2 linked regions of the Sus scrofa genome follow. The protein of the gene in region 2 interacts with the protein of the main gene of each other region in a pairwise test. Links are inferred from orthologs where the notes say so. Each region holds a gene or a part of one and is shown on either strand. Other genes may lie near its edges.

What was found.
Region 1: the proteins of DDX58 (region 2) and MAVS interact in binary tests that used the Homo sapiens proteins (3 or more experiments, as listed by UniProt). The link is inferred for Sus scrofa from reciprocal best matches to the Homo sapiens genes RIGI and MAVS.

The regions. Positions count from the first base shown.
Region 1 is NC_010459.5:31,866,354-31,870,722, reverse strand, and holds the start of MAVS (mitochondrial antiviral-signaling protein), read left to right. Parts: upstream 1-1,449; 5' UTR 1,450-1,571; intron 1,572-4,369.
Region 2 is NC_010452.4:33,905,160-33,908,807, reverse strand, and holds part of DDX58 (probable ATP-dependent RNA helicase DDX58), read right to left. Parts: intron 3,424-3,648; coding exon 3,270-3,423; intron 2,703-3,269; coding exon 2,444-2,702; intron 1,268-2,443; coding exon 1,105-1,267; intron 1-1,104.

The sequences.
Region 1 (4,369 bases), on a different chromosome or scaffold from region 2:
GATATGAGTAGTTTTCCTTGACTGTTCTTTTTCACTACTGTATACACCACAGTCCATCTCTCCATTCTGTTTATGCACATTTGTTTCCAGAACTTGCATATTGTGAATAAAGCCACTATTGTGTGTGTTTCCAAGTGGACTCATAGGGTTTATATGTTTAATTTAAGGACTTCCAAGCATTTCATATGTTTAACTCATATGTTTAACTTAAGGACTGCCAAGCATTTCCCCAAATCTTTTAATCTCTCTCTCTCTCTTTTTTTTTTTTTGACTGCGCCTGCAGCATATGGAAGTTTCAAGGTCAGGGATCAAATACTACCTGCAGCTCGGACCTATGCCACAGCTGCTCACAAGGCTGGATCCTTAACCCACCACACCCACAACCCCCACCACAGCAAAGACACCTCTGGATCCTTAACCGGCTAAGCCACAGCCAGAACTCCTAATCTCTCTTTAAAACAGGAAAAAAAAGTAGTTCCCATCATGGCGCAGTGGTTAGCGAATCCGACTAGGAACCATGAGGTCGCGGGTTTGATCCCTGGCCTTGCTCAGTGGGTTAAGGATCTGGCGTTACCGTGAGCTGTGGTGTAGGTCGCAGACGTGGCTCAGATCCCGCGTTGCTGTGGCTCTGGTGTAGGCCAGCGGCTACAGCTCCGATTGGACCCCTAGACTGGGAAATCCATATGTCACGTGAGCGGCCCAAGAAATGGCAAAAAGACCAAAAAAAAAAAAAAACCAACCAACCAAACAAACAAAAAACAAAAACAGGAAAAAAAATAAACCTCTACTTTTTTTGGGAGAATATTTAATGGGCCCTAAGACTTTAAGTCTGTACCTGAAACAGTGGGCATTCAATAACTGCTGGCCTTTGCTGCCTCGGCAGAGCAGGCGGTTGGGGAAAACTGCGGTGAGGTACCAACCAGAATTCTTGAAAGGAGAGGGCGTTTCCACGCAGCACTCAGAGCCCACCCCCAGCGTGCCCAACCTTGTGAGACAAACTAGGCGCCCTGGCCCTTTCATACACCTATCCCCCCACCCCCGCACTCCAGATCGATCTTGCCTCCTCAGGCCCAGAACGTGTCGCCTGGCTGGGCACTTTTCATGACATCCGACGTTTATTGAGCACTGACTATGTGATAGGCCCTGGGTGAACGACCAAAAGACCCTCACCCCTCAAATTACTCAGCGTGAGGAATGGTAGCTTCGTGTGGGAAGCGTCGTGGACCAAGGCCGCCACAGTTTCGACTTGGTTTCTAACCAGACCCTGGACTTCCCCCTGGAAGTTGCTCGAGACAAACAAGAAAAGAAGGTCATCTGGTCATCTGCTCCTTTGCACTCCAAAAAGTACGAACCCAGGTCAGTCCCGAGCGCCCGTCCGGCGAGTCCAGGCCCCCAAACCACCACCGAGTACCCGCCCCCCGCCGCCCAGTGGCTCCCACTGGAGCCGAAACCCCGCCCCCGCCGTCTGGCCAATGGCCGTGCAGCTCCGGCCCCCACTCTCCTGTCCTGCTGGGGAGGGTTCCGGGCTATAGGCTACAGGAGGCAGGTTGCCTGGCCGTGGCTACCCCGAGGTAAGATCGCCGGCCCTGGAGCTCGGTCCTCTGGGCTCTGGGGCACGGACGCCTTTCGGGGAGGTAGCCCGCAGGGAGGGAGCTGAGTGGGAGTCGGAGTCCTTCGGGCCGCATGAGGCTTGGGGCGCCCGGCGGCCGAGAAGAGCGGATTCTTAGGCTCGTGGGGTTCGGGGCAGCGAGGGCTCCGCGCGCCGCAACCATCACTGAGGGCTTGGGAGGTGCGTGGCACCGGCGTCTGCTTGGATTGGAGACGAGGTTGGGCCGGAAGGAGACAGGCGCTGACTCCTGAGCCCCTTCCAGTCGCCCTCAGGTCCAGGGTGATCCCCAGGCGAGGCCTAGCCCGGGTGCGCTAATGTCTGGAGGCCGCGGCCGCGCTTGAGGGGTCGAGGACTGCCGCCGTCCCCTGGGTCCTGACTGTTCTCGGCGCTGACATCTGCTCAGAACAGCCCACCCGCCCTCTGAAGTCCTGGGTCTGGCCCAGGAATTATGGAATCCGAGCTGAGGCTGTGAGGCCGCGCCCCTTCCGGGAGGGTGGAATTTTCTTTCTGGAACGGACACACAGCCTCTGGTGCAGTCGGGGTAGAAACTCTCCTAGCCGCATCCATCAGGAGCACTCCGCCGCGCATCTTATCCGAGACCAGGAGGTGTCAGGAAAACAATGGAAAAAAATCAACATTCTTCGTTTGAAGGCTCAAAAACACCTGAAAGGACTTCTGAAAGGACCTGAGAACCCGGCTGCTGTAGTGGGCAGAGTTAGAAGGGCCTCAGATCTGTCCAAAAGATTCCATTCCCCACAAGAGCAGGGACCAAATTCTGCATTTTTCCCAGGCCACTTTCAGTCAGTCCTACACCTCCCCCACCCCCATCCCCAGCCAGGCAGTGACCTTGGGGTTTGAAGGCCTGGAGTCAAGTGAGTCTCGCTTGCTGCAGGGGTTTCTTTGCCCTGCACCGTGTATGATGAGTTTCAATTAGGCAACAAGTCCTGGGTTCAAATCCTGTTAGGCCACTGGTCAGCTGTGCAACGTGGCTTCATTTCTTAAGGGATTGTGGCAAGGATTAAATGAAAGAAATTTAGTATGTGCCTGCCAGTAGTGGACCCTTAATAAATGTGAACAGATATGGGGTTCCTTTCTTTTTGGTTGAACCAATTCATACCCCGATACCCCCAGACTCTGTGCCTCAGGGGCTGAGACTGGGATGCAGAAGAATGTTTCACCTGCCTCTCTCCTGATACCTCTCTGTATCCCACAGGAGGGAAGGGGAAATGGGTATATTTGCCCCCACAGTGTTCTTTGCTCATTTCCTAAAGGCTCAGGGGACCCCTGCCCCACCTCCCTGATCCTCTTGACCTCTGTCTTTTGTACTTGCCTCACGAGGGAAGTTGCACCTGGTGTTGGCAAAGCAAGTTGCGCAGTGTGTGGCTATGAGGCCGGTGGCAGCAGGTAGGCAGGACTGCTGCCCCATTTCACATGTGGTGGGGGACTGGCAGCCTCAGCAGCTTTACATTACTCTCTGCTCTGCAGCACTGTCTCCTAGAGCTCCCACCCAAGCTTGACACCCATGTTTCTACTCTAGCCTGCCCCCTCTACTCTGCCCCCTTCCCTCCCGGAAAAGCCCCTTGGATATCCAATAGCATCTCCAACTTCACTTGTTCAGATGGAGCCCTGGAGCCCCATCTGCACCACTGCTTCTCCCGCAGATTCTCTGGCTTGCTAAGTGGCACCCTCCATCCACCCAGTGCCGAAGGTGTCATTCCAGATCCTTCTCTCTCCTTCATCTCCTGTATCCACAAAATACCAGGAATCCGGCCACCCCTCACCATCTTCATGGTTACCATCCTGGTGTACCCCTCATGGGGTCCCTGCTGTGGCCTCCTGACATATCTCCCTGCTTCCATCCTGCCCCCTCCACAGTACAGGGTCCTTACAATCACTGCAGAGGTATATATATATATTTTTTTAAATTTTTTCTTCTCTTTAGGGCCTCACTCGCGGCATACGGGGATTCCCAGGCTAGGGGTCCCATCGGAGCTACAGCTGCTGGCCTACACCAGAGCCACAGCAACACAGGATCTGAGCCACGTCTGTGAACTACACCACAGCTCATGGCAACACCAGATCCGTAACCCACTGAGTGAGGCCAGGGATCAAACCTGCATCCTCATGGATGCTAGTTGGGGTTGTTAACTGCTGAGCCATGATGGGAACTCCACCACAGAGATCTTTAACATAAATCAAGTCTTCTCCTTTTCCTGCTCAAAACCCTCCAATGGCTCCCCATTTCACTCCAAATAAAACTCAAAGTCCTTTCCTATAATGGCCTACATAAGTGGCCCTTCACAACCTCCTTGACCTTGATCTCTACCCCTCCCCCTAGCTTTCTAAACCTGGACCGCTCTGATCTACTTTTCTCATCTTCAAACATGCCAAGTGTTTTCCCACCTTTGGACTTCTCACTGGCTATGCCCTCTGCCCAAAGCACTATCTTGCAGCCAAGAATGGTTTGGCTCAATGTCATCAATTCAGAAAGGTCTCCCTGACCATCCCAGTTCAAGCAGCATACCCTTCTTCAGGGGCTCTGTCTCATCATCCACTTCATTTTTTTCTATAACCTTTATTCCTAGCTGGAGTTACATTTTACTGATTTGTTATCTGTCCCACCTCAGTAGAATGTAAATTGGATGATGGCAGAGATCTTGTCTGTCTTGTTCCCTGCAGCTCTCCCTTATGAGAAAGGCAAATGAGAAATAAGCAAACAAAGAGGTCTATCATGGCAAATTGTTGTAAGTGGTGTATAAG
Region 2 (3,648 bases):
CTGTGATACAGTATGTACAGGGAGTCACGGGGCACAGGAGAGGCCCTAACTCTTCCAGGAGAGGCAGCGTTGTGAGGAAATAGGGGAAGAGGCAAGGGGGAGTGAGCAGTCATGGGCAAAGGCTGGGATGGACAAAACTTGGAGAGAGAACACAAAGGACCCACCTGAGGAGGCAGAAGGAAGGCCATGTGCTTGGGTTTATGGGAGGTGGGAGGAGATGAAGCTCAGAGCATGGGAGGGACAGGATTATAAAGATATGTGGGAGTTCCCACCATGGCGCAAAGGGATTGGTGGCATCTCTGGAGCCCTGGCATACAAGTTCAATCCCTGGCCTGGCACAGTGGGATAGGGATCCAGAGCTGCTATGGCTGGATCACAGCTGTGGCTCGCATCTAATCCCTGACTCAGGAACTCCATATGCCATGGTCGGGACGGGGCGGGGACAGAAAACAAAACGAAACAAAATGTGTATGTGATATTAAGAGGTTCAGATTGAGTACTTTCTCTAAACTCCTTCCATGAAGCTCCTGGACTCTTTCATGTGTATTTGTTCTGCCTTTTATCCAATCCAGCCCTATGCCGTTCAGAGAGCAAGGCAACAAGAGTTACAGGCATCTTCTGTATCCCTTTCGCCTGCTGGGCTAGTACAGCATTGTACTCAATAAACATGTGTTAGTCAATTGTAGTCATAAAATCATATTCTGATCTTTTGAGGAAAGATGAGTTCAAATAATTTCACATCAACCAAAATTCCCAGATACATATTCAAAGATTGGCCAAGCACTCAGTGTCCTTCCCAGGCCTGGCACCTGAGAAAGACCGAGCCATCTGTATGCTCAGATCTTCCCAGCAGCTCTCCCTTACTGCCAGTGCCTTCACAAGAGTGTTAGGAAAATGAAGAATAAGCGTGTCTGCTCTCTACAGGCCACTTCTGAGCTCAGGTGGGAAGAGAACGGGAAATGTGATTCCTTCCTAAGCTTGGGGTTAAATATTTCCTATACAACAGACAAAGGGTAAAAACACAGGGTTCATCTAAATGGCCCTGAACCAAGATGAGCAAAGGGTAACAAAATCTGGAAGGGCTTGTTACTGGATCCCACTTACACTTCTGGGGCTTATACACAACTTCCTCTAGTTCTTCCAAGTTGTCTCTGACTGTTGCTATGACCGAAGTGTCAAGAGAAGCACACAATTTGCAGATGTATTCTGTGGCTTCAGCCTTGTTTTTTGCATCCCCAACGCCAACCGAGGCAGTCAGTCCAATGACCTGTGAGGAGCATCCCGAACCATTAGATGTCTGGGAAATAGCATGATATTCCGCTCCTGGAACTCTTTTCTGCACAATAGGGCTTTTTATTGTTTTTTTTTTTTCTTTTTATGGCCGCACTGTCAGCACATGGAAATTTCCAGGCTAGGGGTCAAATCGGAGCTGCACCTGAGGCCCACACCACAGCCTCAGCAACACCAGATCCTTAACCCACTGAGCAAGGCCAGGGATTGAACCGCATCCTCATGGATACTAGTTGGATTCGTTACTGCTGAGCCACAACGGGAACTCCAAGAATGGTTTTTCATCTGCCCCATCTTTACTTATTTCTGCTTGCACACTTATCCCATGCCCTCTAGTCTCCTGGTATCTTGTTCTGTCAATCATTCCCTCTCCCCCTCCTGCCTCACCGACTGGTCTCAGGTGATGCTGAAGAAGTTCAAGACTCTTGAGCACACCTTACTTTTTCACACATCTGTGCCTCTGGACACACAGAAGCCTTTACTGAAAACCATCCAGCTATCTGCCTCGTAAACTCCCATTAGTTTTTGCCTCACCCAACTTCTGTTAGGTCTTGCCTTACTTTCACAGCATCTTTCTGTTCTGTACATCCATAGTGTGCCATCACCATAAATCGTAATTCTTAAGCATGTGGCTCCCCACAAAACTTAAGTTGTGTGAGGGAAAGGACCATGTCTTTTTATATTTGTACCCCCAATGCCTAGCATAGTGCATGACACAGAGAGGCACCTAATACCTATTTGTGAAGTGAATAAATGAATCGATATTAATTAAGGAGCCATACGAAAGGCATTTAGGATCTCAGAAGGACATCCTCGATACGGCCACAGGGTATGCAAATGGGATCTAGGAAAGTTAGGGAGTTCTCATTGTGGCTCAGAAGTAATGAACCTGACTAGTATCCATGAAGATGCGGGTTCAATCCCTGCCCTCCAGCAGTGGGTTAAGGATCCAGCCTTGCAGTGAGCTGTGGTATGGGTCTTGGAGGCAGCTCAGATCTGGTGTTGCTGTGGCTGTGCTGTAGACCAGCAGCTGCAGCTCCGATTCGACCCCCAGCCTGGGTGCCTCCATATGCCTCAGGTGCAGCCTAAAAAAACAAAAAAGATCTAGACAAGTTCGAGCTCTTCTCAGAAATCCATCTGACTTGGGAGATACCTGGGGCAGTGAGTCTGAAGATCCTCCAAGTTTCCGATCTAGATAATTAAACATGATGACATTATAAGGATGCTGTTTGCTGGTGTTGTGGCATTCATCAAATATCATCAAAGTAAACACAGAGAGTGATGGAATTGTCCCATTGGTAAGACAGTTCACAAGAATCTGTGGTGTTAAGATGATGATGTCGTTGTTCTCAACAATCTGTTCCACACAGACAGTGTCAGACGTTGCTCCAGAAATGCCTGCAACTTTGTACCTGGAAAATGACAGAAATTTCCTATTACCAACCATAATAGGAATGAGGAATCACACACAAAGGATGTACCAGATCAGAACATCGATTGATTAGTTCTCCCTAAGTCTAAAAGGAACAGATCTGGAGAAAAGTTAAGAGCTTAGCACAAAGCCCTGCACACAGTAAGTGATCAACAAATGTAAGCCAGGAAGAACTGCTAAAAAACATTCCATGTGGCACCTGCAGATAGAGAGAGCCGAAAGTAGTTTTTTCAAGGAATTGAAAAAGAAAATAAAGGCAAGACTAATATAAAATACTGATTCACTCAAAATCATTGAAAAGTTAAATGTGGCATTTAGCTGTAAAATTTATCTCAAGTCATTTACTCACACTGCCAAAGCTAATCACAGGAGGTTAGCATTTCAGCTATATCTAACAAAAAAGACTTGGATCTATGAAGGAATTAATATCTAGCTGAATCTACCGTAAATTTTTTGGATCATGGTTTTCCAAAAGCAAAACAAAGCAGAAAACACATTGGTTACATGAAGCTAGAGAAAAAGAAGTTGGACCAACTGCTATACGTACCCAAGTCTTTCAAAATGTTTTGAGAACACAGATTTCTGCTGCTCATACACTGGGAGTTGAATAGCAAAAAAGACAACCTTCCCCTTTCGTCCTCGTGGAAATTTCTTAAGATGATGTTCACATATAAGAAGAGAAACAAAGGTTTTTCCACAACCTTTAGTATATAAAAGATAAAGAAAACATGTAACTAAGAGTATACGAAAATATTTCTGTAGAAAAATCATTATATTTGGCGCCCCTAAAACCACTGCTCTGACTAGTAAATTGGTGATGTGGGTGGGTTAAAAACTGGAGAATTTATACAATGACTCAAAAGCCAAGTTACCTCCTGGGTCACATGCACTCAAACAGCCAGGGCCTGCAGGAAGTTAAAAGGAGT